Linked DNA regions of Anolis sagrei. The protein of the gene in region 1 binds, or shares a complex with, the protein of each later gene. Links are inferred from orthologs where the notes say so. Each region holds a gene or a part of one and is shown on either strand. Other genes may lie near its edges. The genes, in order: ING3, BRD8 and ANP32E.

What was found.
Region 2: ING3 (region 1) and BRD8 share a complex: the UniProt entries of both Homo sapiens proteins name them as parts of the SWR1-like complex. The link is inferred for Anolis sagrei from reciprocal best matches to the Homo sapiens genes ING3 and BRD8.
Region 3: ING3 (region 1) and ANP32E share a complex: the UniProt entries of both Homo sapiens proteins name them as parts of the SWR1-like complex. The link is inferred for Anolis sagrei from reciprocal best matches to the Homo sapiens genes ING3 and ANP32E.

What each region holds. Positions count from the first base shown.
Region 1 is NC_090025.1:128,894,557-128,905,006, forward strand, and holds the start of ING3 (inhibitor of growth protein 3), read right to left. Parts: upstream 4,419-10,450; 5' UTR 4,227-4,418; coding exon 4,199-4,226; intron 4,037-4,198; coding exon 3,965-4,036; intron 195-3,964; coding exon 94-194; intron 1-93. UniProt on the Homo sapiens protein: Component of the NuA4 histone acetyltransferase (HAT) complex which is involved in transcriptional activation of select genes principally by acetylation of nucleosomal histones H4 and H2A.
Region 2 is NC_090022.1:76,369,095-76,378,999, reverse strand, and holds the start of BRD8 (bromodomain-containing protein 8), read left to right. Parts: upstream 1-5,049; 5' UTR 5,050-5,100; coding exon 5,101-5,119; exon of another isoform or gene 5,120-5,129; intron 5,130-6,957; coding exon 6,958-7,054; intron 7,055-8,993; coding exon 8,994-9,063; intron 9,064-9,905. Other genes in the region: NHP2 (H/ACA ribonucleoprotein complex subunit 2), read right to left, coding at 1,419-1,544, 2,623-2,728, 4,322-4,391, 4,735-4,903. UniProt on the Homo sapiens protein: May act as a coactivator during transcriptional activation by hormone-activated nuclear receptors (NR). Isoform 2 stimulates transcriptional activation by AR/DHTR, ESR1/NR3A1, RXRA/NR2B1 and THRB/ERBA2.
Region 3 is NC_090032.1:5,804,758-5,814,823, reverse strand, and holds the start of ANP32E (acidic leucine-rich nuclear phosphoprotein 32 family member E), read left to right. Parts: upstream 1-5,227; 5' UTR 5,228-5,509; coding exon 5,510-5,563; intron 5,564-10,066. UniProt on the Homo sapiens protein: Histone chaperone that specifically mediates the genome-wide removal of histone H2A.Z/H2AZ1 from the nucleosome: removes H2A.Z/H2AZ1 from its normal sites of deposition, especially from enhancer and insulator regions.

The DNA.
Region 1 (10,450 bases):
GAAGGAATAATTTCTCATTAGGTTCACACCTCCAATTTAAAAATATGACTCCAGGGCCTTCTTTATTTTGATCAGAATTTTCCTTACTCTTACCTTTTTAATTGAAGTCATTTGTTCTTCTCTCCATTCCTGTTTGTTTTTCTTTGCATTCATAAAAAATTCATTGACTCTTTGCTCCAGTTGATCCATTGCATCTTAAAACACACAAACATTAAAGTTGCAGTCATTCATCTTCTTATAAATATATAATGGATTGTAAAAGGAGAACAGAAGTATGAGAAATAAATATACTATGGGGCAAACTATTGAAAAATGTGTACGAGGTTAAATTTAGTTTTTTAAAAAAATTAATCTCAATGTAAGATTTATGACATGTACATCAAAAGTCCTAAGTGACTTTTTACAGAAAAGGCATACGGAGTTAAGTGAGACTTTAGTGCAAACTTACATGGTTAAGATTACACCTGGTAACGAATTCTATTACAACTCCTGCAAAAGTGGAGGGTCAACTGAAAGTGGTGGCAACCTCCATTCATATTACTATGCCATTGCATATAATGTGTCTTCAGCATCCACGGATTTTTGTATTTCAGTGGGATGCTGGAACCAATCCATAGTGGATACTGAGGGCCCGATAAATTTAAGCCAATTTGCCATATGAGAAGAAAGAAAGTCAGCTGTGCTTGCAACACAGAGCATTTGGTATGCCCTCACAATCCAAAGTGACAGGAACAAAAAAAGGGCAAAGTTCAATTTGGAAAGGAGAAAAATAAAAAAAATATAGGTTTTTCTCCTCTCAAAAAATCACATAAAGTCATTTTATATTACTTCAATTCCATTGAAGTAATATAAATATATAAATGGACCAATTCCATTAAGCAGTTTATGTCTAGGCAGTGCAATATATATAGGGAGTGCAGTTTATGTATAGGCAGTGCAATATATATAGGGATGGGTCAGGGATTGTAAATGCTATTTCAACTTTGTAAATGCTTTGTAAATGCTATTTCGCCTGTCAAGGGCTGAAAAAATGCGGTATAGAAATAAAGCAAATAAATAAATAAATAAATATATAGGGATGGGTCAGGGATTGTAAATGCTATTTCAACTTTGACTGAAGGAAAATGATATATTTCATGTACTTTAAAAATGCACTTTCAAAGAGCTTTTACCAACTCATTATTTAGTCCACATGGAGACCCACTGAAATTACTTGGAAGAGAAATAATAACCATGGAAACACATATCTTTTGACTTGCATATATTCCAGAGAGGCATTTAAATTCTTTAAGTTTAAAAGTAACCCTATCTATTACCAGTTAGTTGTCCTACACACTTGGTTATCTGTACCCCTAATTATTTGAAACTAAAGAATACAGGCTTTTGCAGCTGAAGTTACATACTTGTAAGTGCTAAGACTCATGATTTGTATTTGGTAATAATATAACCTAGACAATGCCCACTTTCTAAATGAATTAAAAAAGGAAAAGGGGGGAAATGGAAAAACCTAGTAGTATTTACAAGACTTTTATTTTAGCATGACTGTTCATGGATATCAATCAACTCTTCAGATGTAAAACTGAAAAGATGTGAGATATCTACAAAAGCTACGGTAATATTAAAATAAAAACCAGTTCACCTTAAAGGTGCTGTTAATTTTTCTATTCCCCTCCCTGTCTACATGAATAGCTGAGATTCTGAGCTGTACACACATTTTATTTAATTATTTAAAATTTAAAATGTTATAAATAAATGAATTTTGTGTTTAGACTTCAGTTCCATATCTAAGATATCTCATTAGGTACACACAGGTGTTCCAAAATAATCTGAAATCCGAGACACTTCTGGTTTTGAGGGATAAGTTCAAAATTGTCCACCTGGGTGGCTGAGATAGTGATACTTGTGCTTTCGAACATAAATGTACATACATTTCAATGTACATAAATTTGGTTTCAGCACAAAATATTTTAAACACTGTGCATAAAATTATCTTCAGGCTATGTGGGTATAATGTCTAAAAAAATTCAGTGTTTATTTAGACTTGAGTCCTATTTCCAAAATTTCTCATTACATATACATATGTATACAGGGATTCCAAAATAATCCAAATCCCAGGACATTTGCTTGTCCCAAGCATTTCGGATAAGGAATACTCAAGATATATTAACAGAGAGAACAACTTGCCTCAGGGGAGTGTGCTTACTCCATCAATGTTTAACATTTACACTAATCATCAGCGACTGCAGAAGGGACAGAGAATTTCATCTATGCTGACGATCATGCCACTGCTCAAGCAGGGCACTTTGAAATGGTTGAACAGCTCTTCAAAGCTTTAGGTGCTCTTACTGCTTATTACAGGGAAAACCATCTGATTCCTAATTCATCCAAAATGCAGACATGTACTTTTCATCTTAAGAACAGACAAGCATCTCGAGCTCTGAGAACTGTCTGAAAAGGAATCCCATTGGAGCACTGCAGCATACAAAAATACCAGGGAGTCATTCTGGACTGTGTTCTGACTTATAAGAAGCACTGCCAGACTATCAAGCAAAAAGTGGGTGCTAGAAATAATATCATACGAAATCTGGCACAACTTGAGGATCACAATTAGATACAGTGAAGACATCTGCTCTTGCGCTTTGCTACTCTGCTGCTGAATACGCATGCCCAGTGTGGAATACATCTCACCAAGTTAAAATAGTGGAGGTGGCTCTTAATGAGACATGCCACATTATCACAGGAAGTTTATGCCCAATACCGCTGGATAAATTATACCGCTGGATAAATTATACTGCACCACTGCACCACTTGATATCCGTTGGGAAGCAGCAGCCATCAATGAAAGGACCAAGGCCCATTCTCTGCTTGGATATTAGCCAGCATGCCAACGAATTAAATAAAGAAATATTTATTTATTTATTTATGAAATTTCTATCCTGCCTTTCTCGAACCTGAAGGTGACTCAAAACAGCTTACAACTAGGCAGCTAATTGATGCCTAACAATCGTTTTCTAAGATCTATAGAGATACTCTCTCGGTGTGCTTTGAATGCAATTTTTTCTGCTTCTTGGCAGGGAGATGGACTGGATGGCCCATGAGGTCTCTTCCAACTCTGATTCTATAACACTTCAGCATGTGAGAGTCCAAAAGTGGCAGGTTAAAACTGAGAACTTCAATCAGTGGCTGGAATTGAGTAAGAAACTCCCTCCTGAGCACACAGAAGACTGGGTGACTTGGAAGGCACTGAACGGATCCTGCTCTGGCACCATGAGATGCAGAGCCAACCTTAGGAAATGGGGCTAAGTACTGTTTCCTGGAGGTGGGGGAAGGAGGTGAGGGGTGTAAAATCATTAGACACAAGGGAGAGGTAAAGATGGGATTGATAAGATCACTATGAAACAATATGTGATATGTATTCATTATGTATTTCAATATTTAAAAATGTTGGTGGATTGTGATGTTATTCTACCTGTTTCGGCAATAAAAAAAAGACATGGGGGAAAAAGAAATGGGGCTATGAAGTGGAGTCCACAACATGCAAGGATGGAGAAGAAATCACCTACTACAATGCAGTCTGAGTGCTGCCAAATGCACACTGGAGGATCCCTTAACAGAGACACCAGAGGCACTCCAAGTGGCCAGGGAAATTTTGTATAATGCCAAGCTTTTGTGTTTATTTTAAATTCTGTGTTTAACTATGTTGCGGTTTTTTAAAACTTTGTTTGTGTTTTTTTTTATATACATTATAACTGTGTTTTCAATTCACTTCTGACAAGATAAACAATAAATACACAGAGACTCCAATAGAGCTGACTTAATGGTTACTCTGGAAAACACTCGCTCCAGGCTCAGCTTTCCCTTTTGCATAAGAGAAGGGCGGGGGGAGAGGAACTAGGATTAAGCGCCGCCCACACCACGTCAATCAACACGCATGGCGGACAGTGGGCGGAGCCCGCTCACGTACTCTGCACCTGCAGGTCCATCTCGCGCATCTCGGTGAACCTGTCGCGGAGATCCATGGGAAGTTGTTCAATCACTGCGGGGAGGGAGGGGAGAAAGAGCGAGTCAGTCAAGGCAGGGAAGAATAGAGGGGGCGGAGCGAGGGGCGGAGCCTACGCTCCCTCCGCGCTCTCTCTCTCTCGCCCCTCCCTTCTTCGGGCCTAGCGCCCCCCTCCCTCCCTCGCTTCCAACGACTCACTTTCGAGGTAGTCCTCCAAGTACAGCATGGTGGCGGCGGCGGCGGAGAGGCCCGTGGCTTAAGAGGGTCTCGGTTGTTTCAGCGGCGAGCGAAGAGGGGAGTTTTGGGTGGGGTGAAAGGGAAAAAAAAACGCCAACCACCGCCTCGTCCCTTCCAATATGGCGCCGGCACCGCCAACGACACCAGCGGCTCGACTCAGCGAAAACAACATTGGCGGATGACGCTCCGGCTTCGGCCGCCACGCGATTGGCTCCTGGCGCCTCTGACGTAGGCCGGGCGGCTCGCGCCTCTCCCGTTGCTCTCTGGGAAACGTAGTTTCGGCAGAGTCCTGCATCCCGCTAAAGAAGAAAGAAGGAGGAAACTCGCCTTTTGGATTCGAGTTACAAGGGAAAGTTGTTCGTGTGTGAGCTGAGCCGAGGAAACTTCTCAAAATAATACCGTGCATGCTCATTTAGAAGTACTGTGTGACTCTCTGAACTCCTGTGAGGTTGTACTGAGGTAAACCAAGGCAGCTGCAGGTTTCAAAACTTAAGGAGCTCTTAGGCCCCTTCTTCACTGCCAGGTAATTCACGTTAGCAAAACAAAAAATCCACATTATTTATTTATTTATTTGCGACATTTATATGCCGCCCTTCTCACCCTGAAGGGAACTCAAAGCGGCTTACAAGGTATATATACATGCAATATATCATACTAGCTGTCCCCAGCCACGCGTTGCTGTGGCCCAGTCTGGTGATCTGGAAAATAAAGTAATGAGAAAGTTGGTTTCTAATATATGTAATTTCGTTATGCTTGTGGGTAAACAGTGTTGATGTGGAGAGTGTCTGATTTGCCTACTCTGGAACATGCAACATATAATTGTCCTTCTTTAAGGATCCCTTTCGAATCTATTATACTATATCTGTGTGAGAGAGAGTCATATATCTATTATTTATTTATTTACATTGTTTCTATCCCGCCTATATCAGCCCAGAGGCGACTCAGGGCGGTATACACAGTCGGCACACTTTGATGCCATAAATACATACATTAATAAAGCAAAAACATTAAAGTGCATTTAAACATAAAGGCAGTGCAAAATAAAAATTTTAAAAGAACTATGTCCTATCTATGGCTGGATGGGTCTTTGTCAGGAGGGCTTTGATTACGTTTTCTTGCCCTGGTGAAAGGAGTTGGACTGGATGGCCTTAAGTATTTTCTGTTGGTCGTGGGGGTTCTGTGTGGGAGGTTTGTCCCAATTCTGTCGTTAGTGGGGTTCAGAATGCTCTTTGATTGTAGGTGAACTATAAATCCCAGTAACTACAACTCCCAAAGGTCAAGGTCTATTTCCCTCAAACTCCATCTGTGTTTATATTTGGGCATATTGCGTATTCGTGCCAAGTTTGGTCCAGATCCATCACAGTTTGAGTCCACAGTGCTCTCTAGATGTAGGTGAACTACAACTCTCAAACTCTTCTGGTGTTTTCTGTTGGTCAGGGGAGTCCTGTGTGCCAAGTTTGGTTCAATTTCATCGTTAGTGGAGTTCAGAATGCTCTATGATTATAGGTGAACTATAAATCCCAGCAACTACAACTCTCAAATGACAAAATCATAATGTTTTGAGTGATGGTCACTCCTTGTGTTGTAAGACATTTTGTTGCCAAATTTGGTGTGATTTTGTTCATTAGTTCTTTTGTTTTTAAGGTACTCATTATGCACAGAGCATATATATTGTTGTTGTTCATTCGTTCATTCATTTCCGACTCCTCGTGACCTCATGGACCAGCCCACGCCAGAGCTCCCTGTTGGCCATCACCACCCCCAGCTCCTTCAAAGTCAAGCCAGTCACTTCAAGGATACCATCCATCCATCTTGCCCTTGGTTGGCCCCTCTTCCTTTTTCCTTCCATTTTCCCAACATAATTGTCTTCTCTAAGCTTTCCTGTCTTCTCATTATGTGGCCAAAGTACTTCATCTTTGCCTCTAATATCTTTCCCTCCAATGAGCAGTCAGGCTTTATTTCCTGAAGTATGGACTGGTTGGATCTTCTGGTGGTCCAAGACACTCTCAGAACTTTCCTCCAACATCACAGTTCAAAAGCATCTATCTTCCTTCGCTCAGCCTTCCCTAAAGTCCAGCTCTCACATCCGTAGGTGACTATGGGGAATGCCATTGCTTTAACTATGTGGATCTTTGTTGCCAGTGTGATGTCTCTACTCTTCATTATTTTATTGAGATTGGTCATTGCGCTCCTCCCAAGAAGTAAGCATCTCCTGATTTCCTGGCTGCAGTCTGCATCTGCAGTCAGCTTTGCACCTAGAAATACAAAGTCTGTCACGGCCTCCACGTTTTCTCCCTCTATTTCTCAGTTATCAATCATTCTTGTTGCTGCAATCTTGGTTTTTTTTAATGTTTAGCCGCAACCCAGCTTTTGCGCTTTCTTTCACCTTGGTTAGAAGGCTCCTCAGCTCCTCCTCGCAGTACAATATCAGTATTAAATATTACTATATTGTACTATACCATTATATTGTAATATCATTTGTAATATTACATGTCATATAAATATATAATTATAATATCATATTATTATCATATATTGCATTGCATTACATTATAATATAAATATTATATGTATATACAATATATTATATTACATTATATTACATTATATTATAAGCATAGTACAGGAGACAAGGTGGAGCTGGCCCCTGGCCCCCTCTCTCTGGCCCAGAGCAGCAGTTGGTGTTGGGAGGAGGGGTTCCCAACTGATGACATATGCAGGAGACAAGATGGAACTGTCCCCTGGTCCCCTCTCTCTTCATTCTGGCCCAGAGCAGCAGTTGATGCTTTGAGCTGGATTATCGTAGGCCCCTTCCACACAACTGTATAAAATCCACATTGAACTGGATTATGTGGCAGTGTAAACTCAGATAACCCAGGGCATATATTGTGGATTATCTGCAATATCTGCTTTGAACTGGGTTATCTGAGTCCACACTCTGATAATGTGGGATTTTCTGTCTTGATATCCTGGGATAAAGGGCTGTGTGGAAAAGCCCACAGACTTTTGCAAGAAGAAATACAGAAGAAGGAGTAGAAGTGGAAAAACATGGGGAATTTACAAGTGGAAAGTCTCACAAAACACTCAAGTATATTTACCTTCAAGTTGTCTGTCGACTTACGACCACATCATGAATTTCATGGGGTTTTTTCTTAAGCAAGGAATACTCACACCCACAAGGAGATTCAGACCCCTTCTACATTGCCATATAATCCAGATTATTACAGCACTTAATCCACAATATCTGCTTTGAACTGGGTATCAGAATCCACACTGTTCAATTGGGATTTTATACAGCTGTATGGAAGGGACCTCACAGGTGCTTTTGCCAGTTCCTTCCTGAGAAATATAGCCCAAGGGACCTGGTATATGTTAGCAGTCTAAAGGGAGGTATAGCTGTACATACAATACCCCACTTTTTGATGTGTAGGTTATATATCTGTGGAATAAAAAGCCGGAATGAACCAAAAAGGGATGAGCGAGTGCAGACGCATTTGTTTACTGTAATTCTGAACAAGTTTGTGAGAGGCCAAGCAGCAAAGAGGTTGGACCAGGAAAGGAGTTGGCTGGAAGCCTCAGCAGGACACACTACTTTTGCAAGCATTCTTTTCCCTCTTGCACTTTGGTGGCCACTGGAGTTTAGCCATTAGCTGGACTTTGGCTTGTTCCACTCCTTGCATCCTGAAGCCGCTGCAGTGCAATGCCACACACTTCCCAAATGTTTCTGTGGTGCCGCTGGCTTCTTGATGCTCCATGGCCAACCATTTGGCATTTCCTGAAGTGCTCAGAGCTTCATTTCCCCCCAACAACTAAAGGATCCATGCCTCTTCTACGCATTTGCAATCAGCACTTGCAAGGCTTTCTAAACAAGCTGAAGCGTTTTCTGCAGCCTGCTGCAAACACTATACATTGATGCTAACAGATTTGTCTAAATGGTATTCAGGAACGTTTTCCGGTTGCCATTTTTTGTGACCTCAACATTGAACTCAAGGGTTCTCATTTGGGGTTGGGACCCACAGTTTAAAAAGCAGTGTTCTCACAAACAGTTCAATGCAACTATGGAGGTTGCTTTGAACTATTTGTATGTATAAGCATCAGCTGTTTGCATGAGTTACTTACAAAATAAGCTAAAAGAGGGAGAAAGGTGTTTAAGCGAGACTTGCTTACAACAGATCAAGTGCTGTTTGATACTATTTCCCTCTATGCCATTTTTGCTCATTCAATCAGTGCCTATGAGGTGGGTAGTATTCCTTCACTCTCTATTCAGCCTGTGCTGCTTTTGACATCATGGCCAGTGAGTCTCTTACAGTATTAGAATACATCATGGCAGCTAAGGGCAGTGATAAAGCTAAAAGATCCCATAGAGTTCTCAATTTGCAAGAAAAGCTAGACCTAATCAAACTTGGTGAGGGAAGCATGTCCATGAGTGACATGGGCCGCAAACTAGGCGTACCTCGCTCCACAGTTAATACAATTGTTAAGAATAAAGCCAGGGTGATAGATAAAATAGGAAAGCTACACCGGTGAATACTAAAGTTATTAGAAAAGGGGGTGGATTATTTGCTGACATGGAAAAGTTTTAAATGAGTGGATTCAAGACCAAACCAGTCACAATATTCATTTCAGCATAGCCATTTTCCGCATCAAAGCCTTAAGTCTGTTTAATATGATGAAGGCTGAAAGAGGAAAGGCATCTGCTGAAGAAACTTTTGAGCCTAGCAAAGGCTGGTTCAATAGATTCAAAGCAAGGTCCAATTTGCATAAAATAAAAGTGCAAGAAGCATCTAGCACAGAAACTGCAATGGTAGAAACCTATCCCACAGAATTTGCAAAAATTATAGAAGATGATGGCTACACAAAGGAACAGATTTTCAGTGTTGATGAAACAGTCCTATATTGGAAGAAAATGCCAGCAAGAACTTTTATTGCAAAAGAAGAGAAATCTATGCCTGGATTCAAACCTGCAAAAGATAGGTTGACATTGCTGCTAGAGGCTAATGCAGCTGATGACTGTAAACTCAAGCCTATGCTTATATATCATCCTGAGAATCCTAGAGCCCTTTAAAACTATTTAAAGTTTACCCTTTCAGTTTATTACAATATTTATTATATTATTTATTTAAAATGTTTGTATCCCAATCTTCTCTACTTCCGTAGAGGGACTCAGACCGGCTAACAGCAAGTATTCAATGCTCACAAACAACCTTTGAAACATCATATATAAACAATAAATTAAAAATACATATCAGATAAAAAGCATACTAAAACATTCGCCAGGATAAAAACGTCCAACTCAGCCCGCATATTGTGGTCAATACCTTAGTCAATTACCGATCTCAGCCATCACTCTGCAAATGCTTTGCAAGGTCAGGAGGGAGGGGGCAGATCTAATTTCATTTGGGAGAGTGTTCCATAGCTGGGGAGCCACCACAGAAAAGGCCTTGTCTATTGTCCACACCAAACACTACTGCAAAGGTAGCGGGACCAAGAACAGGGCCTCTCCTCTTAACACCCTTGACGGTTGGTAGGGGGGAATACGTTTGGACAGGTAAACTGGGCTGAAACAATAGTATTGTAAAAGCTTGGATGACTTAATTTATTTGCAACTTGGTTTTCTGATTATTTCAAGCCTACATTTGAGGCTTACTGGAAGGAAAAGAAGATTTCCTTTAAGATTCTACTTCTTGTTGATAGTGTTCCAGGCCACCCTAAAGATTTAACTGGTTTCTTCAGAGAAATTCAAGTTGTCTTCATACCTGCAAACACGGCTTTGCTGCTGCAGCCAATGGATCATGGTGTGAATTCTTCATTCAAATCTTACTCCCTAAGGAGGACGTTTGCAAAGGCTGAAGGTGCCTTAAATGATGATTTTTCTGAGGAATCCAAGCAAAATAAATTAAAAGCTTTTTGGAAGGGCTTGGCATTAAAACAATTAGAGATGCGTGAGATGAAGTTAAAAAAAAACAACTTTGAGCAGTGTTTGGAACAATCTCATTCCCACATTCATGGATTATTTTGAAGGTATTAAGGATCCAATGGAGGAGATCACTGCAAATGTTTTGCTGACATGACAAGAGAATTAGAATTGGATGTCTAGCTTGAAGATGTTGCAGAATTGCTTGGGTCACATGATGAGGCACTAACCGATGAGGATCTCCTGTTACTTGAAGAACAGAAGGCTCTTCAGGGAACAGGAAGCCCTGCCTGATCATA
Region 2 (9,905 bases), on another chromosome or scaffold:
TTCACATAAGACAGCTGATGAAAGCAGTGGAGTAGGACTCCAGGGTTCAAATTCAAACCCAGCCACAGAAACCCTCTAGAGATCACCCATACAGTATCTCCTTCCATTTTATTATGTAGTGATTGATAGCACTAATTCTCAACATTTCATTGTCCAACTCCTTAGTAATGGCCAGGGCTTCCAAGAGCTGAAATCTAAATCATCTTGGGAATCCAAGATTAAGAACAAAAAAATCTAGATTACAAACTGAAACAGAAATTTCATTTCATTGTGGAAGTAGCAAGTCATAGTTTTGAACTCAGACTTAGTTGAAACTGCAGAACTGAGGAAATCTACCCCTAGGAAGGGAAATTCAACCCTGAAAGAGTTATCATGGGGAGGGGAAAGGTATCTCTACTGAAGCGTTGTCATCAATCCTTATTTCCACAACCAAAAATTGTCAAAATCCAATTGTCATGGGGACAACGTGAGGTGAAGCCTTCTGCACAGGGATGCAGACAGCAAAATAAACGTGTTAACCCTTCCCTATACTATTCAAAACTAAACAAAAATTGGCTGGAGTTAACTTTAAAAATGTACCTGTTCTGACTTGCATACAAATTCAGTTTAAGAACAATTTTTTTGTAAGCTGGAGGGGGAGCACCAATAGCCAGAGTTGCCACCCCCTCCTGAGATGTGGAGCTGCTGTGTGAATGCGCATATGCATTCACACAGCAGCCCAGACTAAAAAGGAAGTAGACAGTACATTAACTGCACTCATCTTCTCCTTCCTCTTGAGGCACAGGGATCTATTGATGTGCACACAGCAGTCCTAGGCATGGCGGGGGGGGGGGGTGTCTGTGATTGCTAGTCCTTCCTCCCCCCACCCAAAAAAAAGCATAAGGCAGCTGGGTGAGTGTACCTGTTGTGGGGCACATTTTTCATACCTCAGCTCCAATAGTCTGGGAAGCCCTCTAAGAATGTTTGTCCTGCCCCCACTGTAGTCACAGTTTCCCCACCTTCAGTGTTCCTAAGTCCCCAGCTCCATATTAAATATGCAAAGGCTGCATAAAAACAAGATGGATACCTTATCAACTGCATGTATAGGCCAAGACAGCCAGTAAAAGAATGTTCCATGCATATAGGATGTTTTAGAAAATATTTTACTGCATTTATATCAAATAAGAATGCCTTTACAGCTCGATATATCCACATAGGCAGTAGATTATATTGCAAAATAAATCACATTTTGTAAAAAACACACTTCATAAGTCAGTTAAAACAGAAAAGAGTTGTTGGACTGCAGACGGTATTAGCTGCAGTACTCTATTCAAGGCAAGTTCTCCTGTCCAAATGTTCCAAATCTGTGTAGCTATTACTCAACTGGAATGAACCTAAATGAAAATTTAAATCAGTCCATGAACATATTTTGTTGATGTTCACAATGGGAGTGGAAGGGCTTCGACCTCCTCAAAACACTCATCGTAGGCTTCCTGATATTCTTCATGAGATTTAATCAAGATAACACAAGTTGGACGTTTTGAACCTGCAGCTGCTCCTAAATCCTGAGAAAAGAAAACAAATATTTGTCTAGTTTACAAATGATTTAACAGATACATAGCTCCACTGTCACAATTTACATAAACATGTCCCATAAGTCAAGATGAACTGATCCATTGTTTTTGAGCATGACAAATCAATCCCACCACATCAAAAAGATGACAATTTTCAAAAGCCTCATAAAACCTGCAATGTGGCACTTATTTCAGAATACAAAATGATTTTCCTGTGTTATAGAAATTGTAATTGACTGTCAGTAATTGACATTATTAAAACTGTTACAAAGCTATAACATGATCCTGTATAGCAGGGAGACTCAATCTAAGACTTTCTATATGAAAGTGGTTGTATCCTGCTTTGACCTCTTTAACACAGGAATCCCTTACATCAGCCCCTGCATTCAAACCTGGTTCAGTCAATGTGGACAGCCTGGATCACAAAATTTAAGGTTGCAGATAAAGGCAAATTATCTCTTTCAGAATCTGGACACCATATTTAAGATTCTATTAAGTAGAACTTCAAAGACATTCATTATATATGCCCGCAACTCACCCTCAATAGCATTACAAATTACTGAACTGAATGCAAATACAGGCAGCCCCCAAGTTATGAACAAAATAGGTTCTGTCGGTTTGTCCTTAAGTTGAGTTTGTATGTAAGTCAGAACAAATAATATTTTTCAGTGTAATTCCAGCCAAAAATAAGTAATTTTTAGCTTTGGATAACATAGGGAAGGGTGAACACCCCTGTGGTATTTGTTTTGCTGTCTGTTCCCCTGTTCAGAAGATTTAACCTCACCCTCTGTCCTTGTAACAATTGGATTTTGATAAACCCGTCTTGTGGTAAAAAGGATTGGTGGGAAAGTTTCAGTGGAGACAACTTTCCCACATGATAACTCTTCCAGGAGTGAATTTCCCTTCTGAGGGGTAGATTTCTCTCACTTCCTGTTGTCTCGCCCCCGTTCTTAACCCAGTCAGATGTTTGTAACTCGGGGACCGCCTGTAGCTTCCCAACTTGCATTCAGTTCCCATAAGACATACAAATAAGAAGGCCCCCTTCCCTGTTCCTCCTCTAAATCATTACCGTTTTGGAGGGGATGTAGACATATGGAAGATTCCGGTCTTCACACATGATGGGGATATGGCAGTAAACATCAATAGGCAGTGTGTCTCCTGCAAGAACTGTGATCCTAAGAGAAACAGGCAGGATACCATTTAAAAAAGGACTAGACATTGCTCCTTAATGAAGTGGGAGAACAACAAAGCTACTGTTAATCCCTCTTCATAATATAAAGTTGCAATACTGTTGATAGTTGTAAGCCTCCTCAATCTCAGCAGAATTTCTGAGTAAATTCTGCTCTCTGCAGCTGCTTTACAAACCAATTCTCTGCTACCTAATTTTTAAATATTTGTAGTGTGGTCAGTATTCACATAAATTGGATTCGACTTAAGAGACTCGTACTCTCACACAGACAGAATGTGAGAAATAAAAAAGGCAAATAGGTCAGTGTGAGGCACTGAGGTTAACATTATGCAGATCCAAATGAAAACAATGCTGCTGTTATATGACTTCTGGCTTCATCATGGCTTCATCATCATTGTGGCCTCCTAAAGTTTGCATTTTTGACACATGGGCACATTTTAGTTTCCCACATGACACAGAAATACAAGGTGTTTCTAAAAGAAGGACGTGATCTGAAATGGCTATCTCTCTGCAACCACAAACCACTCATAAATGAAACTTACCCTTTGGAAGGATGAGGCATAGAACTTCAAAGAATTACAAACAGCCTTTAGCCTCAGTCATTTGCAAGATGGTGACCCACATAAGGACTAATGAGATATTTTCCATTTGAGGAGTTAATTTTTAGGTTTGTTTCTGGCTCAAAATAGTAAAAATGATAACTCATTAAACCATTTGTAACTTTTTGTGTAACTATAAGATGTTACCATGGTGAAATACACTGCTTTCAAACTGTGTCCATCATTTTGAAACACCCTGTAATTCACTCATAACAATCAGGAACACTACAAAGAGAGGACTTAGTTCCAAGATCTGCAGCGGATGACTGAACTGAAGTCAGCCATACTGTGTCAAACTTGACACAGGAAACTCTGAGGGAAGCAAATCATTCAAGGAACAATATCGCAGATTCCTGCATAGGCAGAATACCTACTGATACCCAAAATGGTGGTTTGTGGGCTGGTGCAGGTCAGTAATCTACTGGCCGCTGGTGCATGTTGTTTCCAAGAAGGAAATACTGTAGTTATAGTTAATGAGCACAAGTGTGCTTATCTCTGGCTTTCTGGGGAGCAGGGGGGCAGTTGTCCCCCATATTAGATAGCTTAAGAAGCACTAAAAAAGACAAATGCTCTAAAGGAATTAAGCGCGAGGCACCTGTGATCATTCCAATATTAATTTAATTACTTCATTTTTATACTGCCTTTCCCCTGGTATGAGAATTAAAGGCAGCTAACTGCAAACATGACATTACACCTGGGACAAGAAATAGTTTATGCTTAGTGAAATGGAATTTGCTCCGTCAGAGGGGCGGAGTCTTTTTCCCTCAGAGGGGTGGAATCTTTTTAAGCAGAGGCTGGATGGCCATCCGACAAGTGCTTTGTTTGGATGTTTCTGCATGGACTAGATGGCCCTTGGGGTTTCTTCCAACCCCATGGCTGTGTTACTTTCTTTTCTGGCAAAGGAGGGGCTGGCATCTGTGAGTAGCGCACCGGGTGGTCCTTGGGGAGTCTTCTATCGCAAATCATGTTAAGATTCTTACCCCTTCTCGCCTTTGTTAATGAACTTCTGGACCTCTTTCACTCCACGCCGAATCTGTTTTACCTTCGATGCTGCAAGTAGAAGGGGAGAGAGAATATGTATGTGGGAAGCCACCAACCCAGCAAGGAGGCTTGAAAGGGAGCCCTCTGAAGACCCCCATCCCCTCTCTCCAGGAGTGCTGCCCCTAAAACCTCCCCTTTTCCCAAAGGTGCACCTACACTGCAGAGTTAATGCAGTTTGACCTAGGCCAGGCATGGGCAAACTTGGGCCCTCCAGATGTTTTGGACTTCAACTCCTACAATTCCTAACAGCCTCAGGCCCTTTCCTTTTCACCCTCAGCCGCTTAAGCTGAGGACCCAAGTTTGCCCATGCCTGAGTACAGTAGATGCAGGCCCAACCCCTTCCTTCCTGCACCTTTCTTGATGCACTTGTAGAGCTTCCGCGTGAGCTTGCGGGAGGCCAGGGGCCGCGCGATGGCGTTGACGTTCTCCACCAGCTCGTGGTAGGAGCGCTCCGGGGTGGCCTCAGTCTCCGGCGCCGCCTGCTCCTCCTCGGCCTCCTGGCGCTTGCTGGCCCGGCCCATGCCTGCTTCTCCGCCGGGAAGGAGCCACGCGCCTCTCCCGCACTGTCGCGCTTCCGGCTCAGACCAAACACGTGCCGGGAAGGGAAAGCAAGGCGTCGGCCAATAAGAACGCGGCTTTGAGGAGGAAGCACCGCCCACCGCTCTATGGCATAGCTCGCGGCCCCTTTCCCGGCACGCACCGGGCGTGCGTCGGAAAGATGGCCGCCGGGACGGGTAGTGAGTGGGGGTCTGTCTTTTGAGGAGAGGGTGGAGGAAGGAAATAAGGCGAGCGGGCGGCGGGTGACAGGGTGCCTGCGTTTTTTTAACAGCTTCCATAAAATTACCAGGTCTTGGGTTGCTGTAAGTTTTTCGGGCTGTATGGCCATGTTGCAGAAGCATTCTCTCCTGACGTTTCGCCTGCCTCTATGGCAGGCATCCTCAGAGGTTGTGAGAGGCGAAACGTCAGGAGTGAATGATTCTGGGACATGGGCATACAGCCCGAAAAACTTACAGCGACCCATGATTCCGGCCATGAAACCCTTCGACAACACATTTACCAGGCTTCCCCCCCCCCCCCCCCCTTTCCTCCATGTAGGGAAAAACATATCTTCTTATTTATTTCGTGTCGCTTCTGCAAGCCCCTTCTGGTGGATTGGCTGTCTGCAAAGATGATGCCCTGATGTTTTGATGTTTCGCAATCCTTGTGGGAGGCTTCTCTCATGTCCCTGCATGGGGAGCTGGAGCTGACAGGGGTAGCTCATCCGCGCTCTCCTCGGATTCAAACCTTCAGCCCTGCCGGCACAAGGGTTCAACCCTTTGCACCACTGAGGGCTCCTCAAGTTGCTCCTGACACAGAAAAAAATGTGTCAAAAGAATTGCATAAATAAATTATAAAACTGATAAAATAGAGGGAACACAACCAGCTAAATAATTTTTGGCCAAAAAAGGGCAACAGCGACCACATTGTGTTGTCAAAGGCTTTCATGGCTAGAATCGCTGGTTTGCTGTGAGTTTTCCAGGCTGTATGGTCATGTTCCAGAAGCATTCTGACGTTTTGCACACATCTATGGCAGGCATCCTCAGAGGTTGTAAGGTCTGTTCGAAACTAGGCAAGTGGGATTTATGTGGAACTCTTGTCTGCTTGAGGCAGGTGTAAATGTTGTAATTGGCTACCTTAATTCACATTTTAATTTCCTTGCAGCTTGAGAGTCTGGCTTTGGAATGGCCAGCCTCCCACTCTGGACATGCCATAAGTATATAAACTCCACTTGCCTAGTTTCCAACAGACCTCACAACCTCTGAGGATGCCTGCCATAAATGTGGGTGAAACATCAGGAGAGAATGCATCTGGAACATGGCCATATAGGCCAAAAAACTCACAGCAACCCAGCATTGTCTAGCTTTAAACAGTTCTTTCTCTGTGCATGAAGCAGGGCATTGTGGGCACACATACAGCTGCAGAGTCTTTTGTTCTGCTCCGCAGTCGCAGATTCTTCCACCTTGTGCGACTGACAACCATTTTGCCAGGTTGTCTTTTGATCTGCACAGTCCACTTCTGAGTCTGTTTAGGGACTTCCAAGTTGCTCATTTTTGGTTTGCCCCTGGAGGAAGACCTTCATGGGGGGCTATCCAATTGGAATTTCCTGGTTTAGCTGCCCAGAGGGGATTCCCTTGCTATTGCTGGGGGGGGGGGGGAGTGGAGGACATTAAGAGGAGTGGTGGTTCTCATGAAAAGCATTGCTTTTTTAAAACAACATATCTGCTGCCACACACCTTTTCAGGGCATTCATAGGGCTGAGAACTATAACCTAGCAGCATACTACTACTGCAGTCTCTTGAACAGGCATGGGCAAACTTGGGCCCTCCAAGTGTTTTGGGAGTTGAAGTCCAAAACACCTGAAGGGCCCAAGTTTGCCCATGCTGCTCTTGAGGCTTACTTAAATAGGAGTATTGATTGAGATTGGCGGCTGCACGGACAAAGTTAGGTTTATTTTGAGGTGCTGTCACAAAAGGATCTGTGGGCAGGTTGCAACATTGCAGTGTTTATCTCTTCTCTTTCTCTCTCTGACTTCCAGAGCACAAGTTGCTGAATGTCGGGCCCACAGAGCCATGGTCCATCCGGGAGAAACTGTGCTTGGCCTCCTCTGTCATGCGAAGTGGGGACCAGAACTGGTATGAGATGCATGCTGATTATTGTTGTTATTATTTATAGCTAACGTTCCTTAATTGAGGCAATGCAGTTTAAAGTCTACAACATATAAATATTAAAGTAGTCTTGAACATAGAATCGCTATAAATTTAAATAACTAAAATCTATTAAAATACCTAGGGGCTAGTTGCCCCACCCCACCCCCGCCCAAGGATTGGCCTTTAAAATGTTCTTTAAAAACCTGCCTGAAAAGAGAGGTTTTAGCCTGCCACCAAAACAAAAGGACAGCAGGGAGGGGCCGATCAGGTTTCTCTAGGAAGAAGGGGAGCTCCAGAGTTGAGGCAGCCAGAGCTGATAGAAGGCCTTCTCCTGAAGATCTTAGGGCCTGGGCAGGTTCATACTAGGAGATGTAATTTGCCAAAACTTGCTGCTAAGTCCTGGGCATTGTAATTTCAATTAACAATATTATCTGTTCTTTGAACAAAATTCTGAATTAATTTGTTGTAGTTCTTAATTACCAAGTACAAGTCAAGCATTCCCTATCTTAAATGCTTGGGATTAGAAGGGGAGTTGGATTTGAAGTTTTTTTTCCAGATTTTGGAATATGTATGTACCCATATTTACTCAAGTCTAAGGTACCATCGAATCTAATGTTTACCTCAATTTTCAAACACCTAAAAACAAAAAAATTGCTAACGATTGCAATGCATAGCAGCAAAAGATACACACTTTTTGTACTATGCCCATTACAGTTACTCCCTGCTTAGAATTCCTTCTGTAAAAACTATTAAATAAGAACACCAAAGCTCTCAGCAATGGAAAAGAAACAGTGGAGTGCATCTATGTTGTGGAATGAATCCACTTTAACGTCTATAGTTCAGTGCTATGGAATCATGGGGGCTGTAGTTTTTAAAAGCCTTGAGCCTTCTCTGCCAAAGAATGCTGATGCCTCATCAAACTACAAATTCCAGGATTACATAGCATTGAGCTTTGACAATTAAATTATAGATGACACCCCTCAAAAAAGCTCCATGTGCTCCTGCAGCAGCTTCCTCTATTGCTTTGGCTCAGCACTAAAATTACCCTATTATGCAAATCTAATGTGCACCCTAATTTTGGCAAGGTAATCTAGCCAAAAAAGGTGAGTGTTAGATTCAAGTAAATACAGTATTTGCATGTGCATACATAATGTGATATCTTGGAGATGGAATCCAAGTCTTAACACAAAATTCATTTAAGTTTAAAATGCACTTTATACACATAACATGAAGATAATTTTATATACATTATTATTAATTTGTGCATAAGGCAAAGTTTGTGTAGCATGAATGATCAGAAAACAAAAGTGTTGTTATATCAGCCACCTATCTTTACAGTTTTGGATTTTGGAGTATATCAGATTTCAGAATTCCAGGTAGAGGATGTTTACTTGCTGAGATTTACATATTTTAGTGCTGTTTGTGATATTAGCTTTGAATTTGTTGAAAACGGTGAAAACCAGTTGATAAATACAGCTACCTGAAAACAAGTTCTCTCCGATTGTATGTAGGGACAGATTGGTGATTATCCTGACTTAATGAAGGGTGAGTTAGGCTGAGAGAAAAATTGAGCCAAGGTCATCCAGTGAAGTTCATCTGTCTCAGTTAATGATGTAGATGTAGTCCAGCATATTGCTTTTTAAACAGAAAATTTGATACCAGAGGCAGAAATAACATGGAAAGTGTAGGAATAGGTTTCTACACCAGAAAAAAGAGCGGTTCAACATGTTTCAGTGCTATTCAAAACTATGCACATGTGAAATGAAATAACCAGGTCAGGTAAGGATTGCATGAGTAAGCAAAAATAAAGTCTATTGTGTGTATCTTGTGGTTTCCAGGACTCTGAACATGAGACCAAATGTTTTCCCACTGAATTGTTGAAAAAGGGGGATTAAAGATCTTCAACTACTTTATTTTTCTCTAGGGTGTCTGTCAGCAGAGCTATCAAACCTTTTGCAGAGCCAGGACGCCCACCTGATTGGTTTTCTCAGAAAGTAAGATGTTTCATTTTCACCTTGATAATGTCAATAAGCTTTCGTTTCATATTTGGAGTATATTTGTCTTTGGGACTCACTTTGAGCGTGTGAATAAATATGAATAAAAAAACCCTTCCATTGAGTGTGTTTACAGGTGTTTTCTGATTCTGTGGGAATTTTGGTATAGTATTAATGGATAGGTAAACTTAAACTGTCTTGTGTTTAATGAACCCATGGAGAATTAATTGTCTTTCTTGCCCTGCACTTGATGCAACCAACCTGTTGCCAATTAGAATATATCTGTTCTACTTATAATCATTTGATGAAAAATGACATGGAACATTTTTGTCCCAGTATAGTATGTTGGTTCAGACAAAAAAATACCGTAATTGGAGGTGGGTGGGGGTGGATTTGTTGGGAATTTTGCTGTACTAAACTGAAATGACAACGTGGATGATGCCTAAACTAAGCACATCTCACTGCACATTTTAGCAGCCAGAATTCTATTAGTTAGTGTTCTAATTTCTGAAGGTGAAGGCCTTTGCATTTCATACTGGAAAAATTGAATTTAGATGGAACTCCATTCCTTACACTGATAGGGCTACATGTGGATCTCCCCCTGAGAGAAATTTAAGGTAATATGGAAGATGCTTGTTTGTCCCTAACTTTCAGTGCAATGATGAGATATATAACCAAGAATTCAGCGGAAGATACTGAAAGAAAAACTGGGTTAGCCATTCATGTCTGTTGTAGTTCTGTTAATTCCTATAGGCATCCTGGCATGTAGAAGTTAGCCATTGCTGGTGCTAATAGTAGAATTGCCTCATATGACGGGAGATGATTCTCTTCTGTTTGTGAAA
Region 3 (10,066 bases), on another chromosome or scaffold:
TTCTAAGACACACTGCTCCCCAAATAAACACCTCACAAAAGGGGTGTGTCTTAAAATCATGGGTACTTTTGAAGATCTATATCAGGGGTCCTCAAACTTTTTAAACAGAGGGCTAGGTCAAAGTCCCTCAAACTGTTGGAGGGCCAGATTATAATTTGAAAACAAAAACCCATAATAATAATAATAATAATAATAATAATAATAATAACAACAACAATAACAACAACACTTTATTTGTACCCCGCTACCATCTCCCCAAGGGACTTGGTGAGGCTTACATGAGGCCAAGCCCAAACACACAATACAAGCAATAATCACGACAATACAAGCAATTAAAATAAAAACATAAACATAACATTATCGATAAGACAACATACAATTAAAACTATGGGAAGGCCAAATGTAAAATTAAAATTGGAAATAGTGCTGAACATGGACGAACAGGTGATAGTGGCGCTCGTGGAGAGACATATGAGCAGACCTAAAAAATGTGAAGTGCTTTAGAGGGACAAAGTGCGATGGGATCATTAATCCGGGAAGGCACAGAACTGCCACGACCAACAGAAAATACTGGAACGGTTTAGTGGACATTGAACCTGAGTTTGGGAGTTGTAGTTCACCTACCTCCAAAGAGCACTGTGGACTCAAACAATGATGGTCTGGACCAAACTTGGCACGAATACTCAATATGCCGAAATGTGAACACTAGTGGAACTTGGGGAAAATGGACTCTCATGTTTGGGAGTTGTAATTGCTAGGCATTGACCTTGAGTTTAAGAGTTGTAATTCACCTACCTCCAGAGAGCACAGTGGGCTCAAACAATGATGGATCTGGACCAAATTTGGCATGAATACTCAATATCCCGAAATGTGAACACTAGTGGAACTTGGGGAAAATGGACTCTTATGTTTGGGAGTTGTAATTGCTGGGGATTGACCTTGAGTTTGGGAGTTGTAGTTCACCTACCTCCAGAGAGCACTGTGGACTCAAATAATGAGAGATCTGGACCAAACTTGGCACGAATACTCAATATACCCAAATGTGAACACTGGTGGAGCTTGGGGAAAATGGACCCTCATGTTTGGGAATTGTAATTGCTGGGCATTGACCTTGTGATTTGGAGTTGTAGTTCACCTCCATCCAGAGAGCACTGTGGGCTCAAACAATTATAGATATGGACCAAACCTGGCACAAATACTCAATATGCCAACATGTGAACACTGGTGGAGTTTGGGGAAAATAGACCTTGACATTTGGGAATTGTAGATGCTGGGATTTATATTTCACCTACAATCAAAGAGCACTCTGAACCCAGCCCAAACTTGGCACACTACCTACATGGCCAACACTGAATACTGCTGGGTTTGGGGGGGGGGGGCTGTTTTTGAATTCTGGGAGTTGTAGTTCACCAACACCAAAAATGAAGAGAAGGGCAGGTCTTCTCTACCAAAAGGGTTCCTAAGACCCCTTAGTTCACCTTCATAAGTGAGTTATATTAATTGTACTGTTTTCTTTGCTTGCTGTTTTGTTTTTACTGATGTGTTGTTGGGCTTGGCCTCATGTAAGCCACCCCGAGTCCCCTTGAGGAGATGGTGGTGGGGTATAAATAAAGTTATTATTATTATTATTATTATTATTATTATGCAATCAAAAAGCATTCGGAATCCCACCAATGATAGAATTGGGCCAAACTTCCCACACAGAACTCCCATGACCAACAGAAAATATTGTGTTTTCTGATGGTCTTTGGCAACCCCTCTGACACCCCCTTGTGACCCCCTCAGGGGTCCCGACCCCCAGGTTGAGAAACGCTAGCTTAGCCCTTCATCCAGTCCTTTCCTGTTTCTGTAACTTTAGTCCTCTTGATAACACTCTGACTATTTTGGACTGTAACTATCATAAAACACAGCCTATGATCAGGAATTTTGGGAGCTGAAGTCCAAAGGTTAGAATCAGGGCTGTAAAACCATAAGCCCCTGTGAAGATTTGTGGCCCTACAGCGCCACCTCCTCGAATTAAAACACATTACAAAAATAAAGGTACACTTCAGTGAAGTCAATGCACTTCTGGACACGATTCCTCTGACAGAAAACTTGGTACCGACTGAGCATCCTTTACTCAGAATCCCAAGATCCGAAATACTCCAAATTTGTCCGTGTGAGTAGCTAAGAGAGCGACTCCTTTGCTTTCTGATAGTTCAATAGACCCAAACATGGTTTCTTGTACAAATTTTTAAAAAAACTGTGTATAAAATGACCTATATTTTTAGATTACTATGTGAAACATTAAAGCGATTTGATGGTTAGATTTGGGTGGAAAGTCCATGGTGGGAGAAAGAATTCACACCTAGCTCCAACAGACAAGAGTTCTTTATCCCATCCTGGACTTTCCACAGATATATAAACCTAATTTTCCTAGTTTCCAACAGACATCACAACCTCTGAGGATGCCTGCCATAGATGTGGGGGAAACTTCAGGAGAGAGTGCTTCTAGAACAGGGGCCCTCAAACTTTTAAAACAGAGGGCCAGGTCACAGTCCTTCAAACTGTTGGAGGGCCAGATTATAATTTGCAACCCCCCTCCCCCCAAAAAAAACCATGAATGAATTGCTGTGCACACTGCACATATCTTGTTTGTAGGGGAAAAAAATACTTAAAACAATACAATAATTTAAATGAAGAACAATTTAAAAAATATAAACTTATTACTATTTCAATGGGAAGTGTGGGCCTGCTTTTGGCTGATGAGATGGGATTGTTGCTGTTGTTGTGTGCTTTCAAGTTGTTTCAGATTTAGACTGACCCTGAGCAAGGACCGGGTAAATGACCTTGAAGGGCTGTATCTGGCCCCCAGGCCTTAGTTTGAGGATCCCTGGTCTAGACCATGGCCATACAGCCCGAAAAAAGCTACAACAACCCACCGACTGAACAACTGAACAACACCACCCCAGCCATTCCACAGATATATAAACCCATGGTCCTAATTCCAACAGACCTCACTACCTCTGAGGATGCTTGCCATAGATGCAGGCGAAACGTCAGGAGAGAATGCCTCTAGAACATGGCCATATAGCCCGAAATAACCCACAAGAACCTAGATTGAACAACAAATTAGCATAGCACAGGAGACAAGGTGGAACTTAAGTAAGAATAGCCTTGCAGCTTCAAAGCCTGGCTGCTTCCTGCCTGAGGGGGGGTCCGTTGCTGGGAGGTGTTAGCTGGTCCTGGTTGTTTCAAGCAGCCAGGCTTTGATAAGGATATTGATAAGCTTCTCTGCTCACAAAAGAGGCTCAGGGAAGAAGACCAGATTTGATTTTATTTGTCGTGTCAGAGCAACCAGTCCATTATATTACATTTCTAACAGAACAAAGCAAACAAACAGAAAATTTCACACAACTTGTGAGTTTGGTAGCTGGTTAAATGTCCTTTGACCAGTATCTGGCCACTTGGAGTGCTTCCGGTGTTGCTGCAAGAAGGTCCTCCATGGTGCATGTGGCAGGGCTCAGGTTGCATTGCAGCAGGTGGTCAGTGGTTTGCTCTTCTCCGCACTCGCATGTCGAGGATTCTACTTTGTAGTCCCATTTCTGAAGGTTGGCTATGCATCTCGTGGTGCCAGAGCGCAGTCTGTGCAATGCCTTCCAAGTCGCCCAGTCCTCTGTGTGCCCAGGAGGGAGTCTCTCATTTGGTATTATTATTATTAACTTTTATTATTTGTACCCCACTAGCATCTCCCGAAGGACTCGATGTGGCTTACAAAGGCCAAGGCCTCAAAGCACAACACAACAATACAACACCTAAAGCAAATTAAAAACAAAGCAATATTAACGACATGCAATAAACAATACATCAAGACACTATGAAAACTGGGCCAGGATTAAAACTGGGGTACAGGATTAAATGGTATCAGCCATTGGTTGAGGTTCTGGGTTTGAGCCTGCCACTTTTGGACTGTCGTTTGCTGAGGTGTTCCGGCATGCAATAAATAAGCTGGAACATTATTTTAGACTACTGCAACGCTTAGACTACTGCAACGCTCTCTACGTGGGGTTGCCTTTGAAGATGGCCCGGAAGCTCCAATTAGTCCAACGCTCGGCAGCCATGATACTAACTGGAGCGGAGCGCAGGGAGCATACAACTCCTCTGCTGCACCAGCTCCACTGGCTGCTGATCTGCTACCGGGCTCAATTCAAAGTGCTGGCGTTGGCCTTTAAAGCCCTAAACGGTTCTGGCCCAACTTACCTATCCGAACGTATCTCGGCCTATCAGCCCACCAGGACCCTAAGATCTTCGGGGGGGGGGGGGCTGCTCTCTATCCCGCCTGCTTCACAGGTGCGGCTGGCGGGGACGAGAGACAGGGCCTTTTCTGTGGTGGCCCCACGGCTATGGAACGCCCTCCCCATGGAGGTAAGATCAGCCCCCTCATTGATGGTATTCCGGAAAAGACTAAAAACCTGGATGTTCGAGCAGGCGTTCGGTTAACTCAGTGCAATAAGTGTAATGATTGAAGGACTGGCAATTTGGACGACGACACTGGATCGCGATTTTAGTCAAGAGATGAATTGGATTGTTTATAGATATATGTACTGTGGATTGGAGCCCCCGGTGGCGCAGTGGGTTAAAGCACTGAGCTGCTGAGCTTGTTGATCGAAAGGTCGCAGGTTCGATTCCGGGGAGCGGTGTGAGCTTCCGTTGTCAGCCCTAGCTTCTGCCAACCTAGCAGTTCGAAAACATGCAAATGTGAGTAGATCAATAGGTACCGCTCCATCGGGAAGGTAACAGCGCTCCATGCAGTCATGCTGGCCACATGACCTTGGAGGTGTCTACGGACAACGCTGGCTCTTCGGCTTAGAAATGGAGATGAGCATCACACCCCAGAGTCAGACATGACTGGACTTAATGTCAGGGGACTACCTTTACTACTGTGGATTGTGTTTTTATGCTTTTAAACTGTATACTGTTGTTTGTTATAAGTTGTTGTAAACCGCGTTGAGTCGCCGACTGGGCTGAGAAACGGCGGTATATAAGTATAGCAAATAAATAAATAATAAATAAACATCTTCTCTGCTCACAAAAGAGGCTCAGGGAAGAAGTGCAGATGGAGGAGGCGCTTGCTTGACGAGCAGGCTGAGTGTCCAATGGCGCGGAGCCGGGGGCGGGGCGCTACCTCCTCCAATGGGGTCTTCCCTAGGCGGGCTGTCCTCCCTCCCCCTCCCTCTGGTGGGCGGGGCTTCTGGCAGGGGGCCCCATGCGTGGTGTCATGGAGGCTCAGTCCGCGAGCGGCCATTGAAGGGAGCGGAGCTGCGCGTTCGGCACAAACAGCGGGAGGAGGAGGAGGAGGAAGAAGGAGCCGCCGCCTCGAGGGCCATTTTCCTTTCCTAAACTCCTCGTTATTCTTTCCAGCCCGAAAGAGAACTCCTGCTTGTTATAATCCGGATTATTTTTGCCCTCCGGACTTCGGAGGCCTAGCCTAAAGAAGGGGGAGACCAAGAAGAAGGAGAAGAGGAGCAGGATGGAGATGAAGAAGCGCATCAATTTGGAGTTGAGGAACCGCGCGCCGGAGAAGGTGAGCCTTGGCCTCCCTCCCTGTCTCGCTTTCGACTCGCATTCGCCATGGCAGACGCCCCTGCCTTCCTTCCTGCCTTCCGTCCTTCGACGCCAAGCCCTCCTAAATATGTCTGGATATGCGAATGTGCGCATTTGTGTTGTTTTGTTTGCGTTTCTCTCCTCTTTCGGGGGCCTTCTTTCCGTGTCCCCCCCCCCCCCCAAATAGTGTTTTCATGGCCTGAATCACTGGTTTTGCTGTGAGTTTTCCGGGCTGTGTGGCCATATTCTAGCAGCATTCTCTCCTGACGTTTCGCCCACATCCATGCCAGGCATTCTCAGAGGTTGTGAGGTTGCAGGTCTAAAAATTCACATTAATCCATTATTATTATTATTATTATTATTATTATTATTATTATTATTGGATTGTGATACAATTGTGATTATTATTATTATTATTATTAGGTTGCTTTGATATAATTGTTGTTGTTCTTATTATTGGGTTGCTGTGAGTGCTGTCTGGCCACGATGTAGCAGCACTCTCTCCTGACGTTTCGCCCAAAATTCACAGCAACCCATTATTATTGTTATCGTTATTATTATTGTTATTATTATTATTATTATGTTGCTTTGATATAACTTTGATTATTATTATCATTATTATTAGTATTGGGTTGTGATATAATTGTGATTATTATTATTATTATTATTGGGTTGGTGTGAGTTTGGCCATGTTCCAGCAGCACTCTCTCCTGACGTTTCGCCCACATCGATGGCAGGCACCCTCAGAGGTTGTGAGGTTTCCAGGTCTCAAAATTCACACCAATCCATTATCATTATTATTATTATTGGGTTGCTTTGATATAATTTTGATTATTATTATTATTATCATTATTATTGTTATTGGATTGTGATATAATTGTGATTATTATTATCATTATTATTATTATTGGGTTGCTGTGAGTTTTCAGGTCTGTCTGGCCTCGTCCCAGCAGCATTCTCTACTGACGTTTCTCCCCCATCTATGGCAGGTTGTGAGGTCTGTTGGAAACTAGGAAAATTGGGTTTATATGTCTGTGGAATGAATGATGCCCAGGGTGGGAGAAAGAACTCTTGTCTGCTTGAGGCATGTGTGAAGGTTGCAACTGTCCACCTTGATTAACACTGAATGGCCTTGCAGCATCAAAGCCTGGCTGCTTCCTGCCTGGGGAAATCCTTTGTTGGGAAGTAGGTGGGTGGGAGAAAAAACTCTTGTCTGCTTGAGGCACATGTGAATGTTGCAACTAGCCACCTTGATTGGCACTGAATGGCCTTGCAGCTTCAAAGCCTGGCTGCTTCCTGCCTGGGTGAATCCATTATTATTATCATTATTATGATTATTATTAGTGTCTTGTTGAAGGCTTTCATGACCGGAATCACTGGGTTGCTGTGAGTTTTCAGGTCTGTCTGGCCATGTTCCAGCAGCATTCTTTCCTGACGTTTCTCCCCCATCTATGGCAGGCATCCTCAAAGATTGGGAGGTTTCCAGTTCTGAAAATTCACAGCAACCCATTATGATGATGATGATGATGATTATTATTATTATTGGGTTGCTGCGGGTTTTCGGGTCTGTCCGGCTACGTCCCAGCAGCATTCTCTCCTGACGTTTCGCCCACATCCATGGCAGGCATCCTCAGAGGTTGAAGGGGGTCTGTTGGAAACTAGGCAAGCGTGGCAAAGCCTTGCAGCTTCAAAGCCTGGCTGGTTCCTGCCTGGGGGGAATCCTTTGTTGGGAGGTGCTTATGTGGCCACTTTCCAGCAGCATTCTCTCCTGACGTTTCGCCCACATCCATGGCAGGCCTCCTCAGAGGTTGAAGGGGGTCTGTTGGAAACTAGGCAAGCGTGGCGAAGCCTTGCAGCTTCAAGACTTGGCTGATTCCTGCCTGGGGGGAGAAATCCTTTGTTGGGAGGTGCTTATGTTTTGGAAGAGATTGAGAGACGGATGGAGAGAGAGAAAGGCTTCCTTTGGCTCCCATCTTCTAGATTTGTTGTTGTTGTTGTTGTTTACTGCCTCCAAAGTCCAAAATATTTGCCTCTTTAACCCTCTCGGGCAGGCGTGGGCCAACTTTGGCCCTCCAGGTGTTTTGGACTCCAACTCCCACAATTCCTAACAGCCTACCGGCCTCCAAAGTCCAAAATATTTGCCTCTTTAATCCTCTAGGGCAGGCATGGGCCAACTTTGGCCCTCCAGGTGTTTTGGACTCCAACTCCCACAATTCCTAACAGCCGGTAGGCTGTTAGGAATTGTGGGAGTTGGAGTCCAAAACACCCGGAGGGCCAAAGTTGGCCCATGCCTGCCCTAGAGAGTCTCCTTCGCGTCTCAATGATTGGAATTATTTAATCCGAGCTCAAAAGTGCGCCTTCAACGACAACGTTCCCGTTGTCACTTTTTTTTGGTCCAATTTCGGCACATTCTCCGCGACCTACGACGACCATCATCCACAATCCTACGCTGTTTAGGGGTGTCTTTTTAATCTGACTTTTCCTGGCTTGTTTGGATTTTGGGCAATCAATCTATATATAAATAAAAATTTAATGTTTGTTTGTGGCATTAACATAACTCCAAAACCACTGGGCGAATCGACACCAAATTCGGACACAAGACACCGATCAGGCCGACGTGTCACCATCTCTCAGAAAAACACAGCAAAAGAGACTTTAAAAGCCAAAAAATATATAAAAAATACATTACAACACAGCAGAAGAGACTTTAAAAGCCAAAAAATACAAAAAAAACACATTCCAATTCATGCGCAAAACCACATCTAAACACACACAAAGCACATATGGGCCACAGCAACGCATGGCAAGGTACGACTAGTACTCCTCATAATCCAGAATTCTCCGTTCTTATGTTGCGTATCTAGGTCATGGAGGTTCTTCCCTTCCCTGGAATCCAAAAGGCGAGTTTTGCCCCCTTTTTTTGCTTAATCAAGGAAAGAAGAGTGTCGAAAATCCCAAACTTTTTCTCCTGCTTTGATATTTTTAATTTTTTTCGTCTCTCTCTCTCTTTCTAGCCACGCTGCTTCTAACTGGCTCTTTTCCCCTCGAATCTAGGTCACGCGATGGCGGCGGTGGTGGCGGTGGCGCTCTTGTGTGTGCGCCGTGCCTTTTTACAACCATTTGGAGGAAGAGGCGGAGGCTTTTGTTCGGAGAGGACACCCTAACCAACCCCCCAATCGACTCAGTCGGGTGGCCCTCTCCCTCCCCGACTATTTCACCATTTTGGTTGTTCGAAAAAGAAAAGGGGGAAAATGTGGCGGCGCATGGCGGAGGCTCCTGGCCTCTTTTATTTTTAACTTCTCAGCAGCCGGAAAGCAAGCCCAGGCCGAATCCATCTTAGAGTCCCGTCTACACTTTCTCCCTAAGAATGGGAGACATGTTTGTTTCTTCTTGTTGAAAAGCAGACAAGCCGTGCATGGAGTTCTGTGTGTGTGTGTGTGTGGACACTGCTTGCATTTGTCGCTGGATGTGGAATTTACTTGGCTTTTTCGGAGTTCTTGCCTTGCTAGAGAGAAAGCACACACAGAGGAAGGATTGAATGCCTTCCTTCTTCCTTCCTTCTGTCTCCTTTCTTCCCTTCTTTCCATCTTCCTCAATTCCTTCCTTTCTTCTTTCCTTCCTTACCTCTTCCTTCTTTCAGACCTCCTTCTGGTTTTTTTCCTTCCATTTTCCTCAATTTCTTACTTTCTACTTTCTTCTTTTTTTTTCTTTCTTTCTTTTTTTCTTCCCTCCCTCCCTCCCTTCCATCTTTCTTTCTTTCTTTCTTCTCTCCTTTTGTTTTCTTTCCTTCCATTTTCCTCAATTCCTTCCTTCCTTCAGACTTCTCTCATTCTGTTTTCTTTCCTTCCATTTTCCTCAATTCCTTACTTTCTTCTTTCTTTCTTTCCTCCATTCCTTCCATCTTTCTTTCTTCCCTCCTTGTGTTTTCTTTCCTTCCATTTTCCTCAATTCCTTTCTTTCTTTCCTCCATTCCTTCCATCTTTCTTCCTTCTCTCCTTCTGTTTTCTTTCCTTCCATTTTCCTCAACTCCTTTCTTCTTTCCTTTCTTCCTCCATCTTCTGTCCTTCAGATTTCCTTCTCTCCTTCTGTTTTCTTTCCTTCCATTTTCCTCAATTCCTTCTTTTCTTCCTTCCTTCCTTCCTTCCATCCATCCATTCCTTTTGTCTTCCTTCCCTCCTTCTGTTTTCTTTCCTTCCATCTTCCTCAGTTCCTTCCTTTCATCTTTCCTTCCTTCTTCCATCTTCTGTCCTTCAGACTTCCTTCTTTCCTTTTATTTTCTTTCTTTCCTTTTCCCCCAATTCCTTCCTTTCTTCTTATTGCCTTCCTTCCATCTTCCTTCCTTCAGACTTTCTTCTCTCCTTGTTTTCTTTCCTCCCATCTCCCTCAGTTCCTCCCTTCCTTCTGACTTCCTTCTCTCCTTCTGTCTTCTTTCCTTTCGTCTTCCTTAATCCCTACCGTCTTCTTTCTTTCCTTCCAGCTGCCT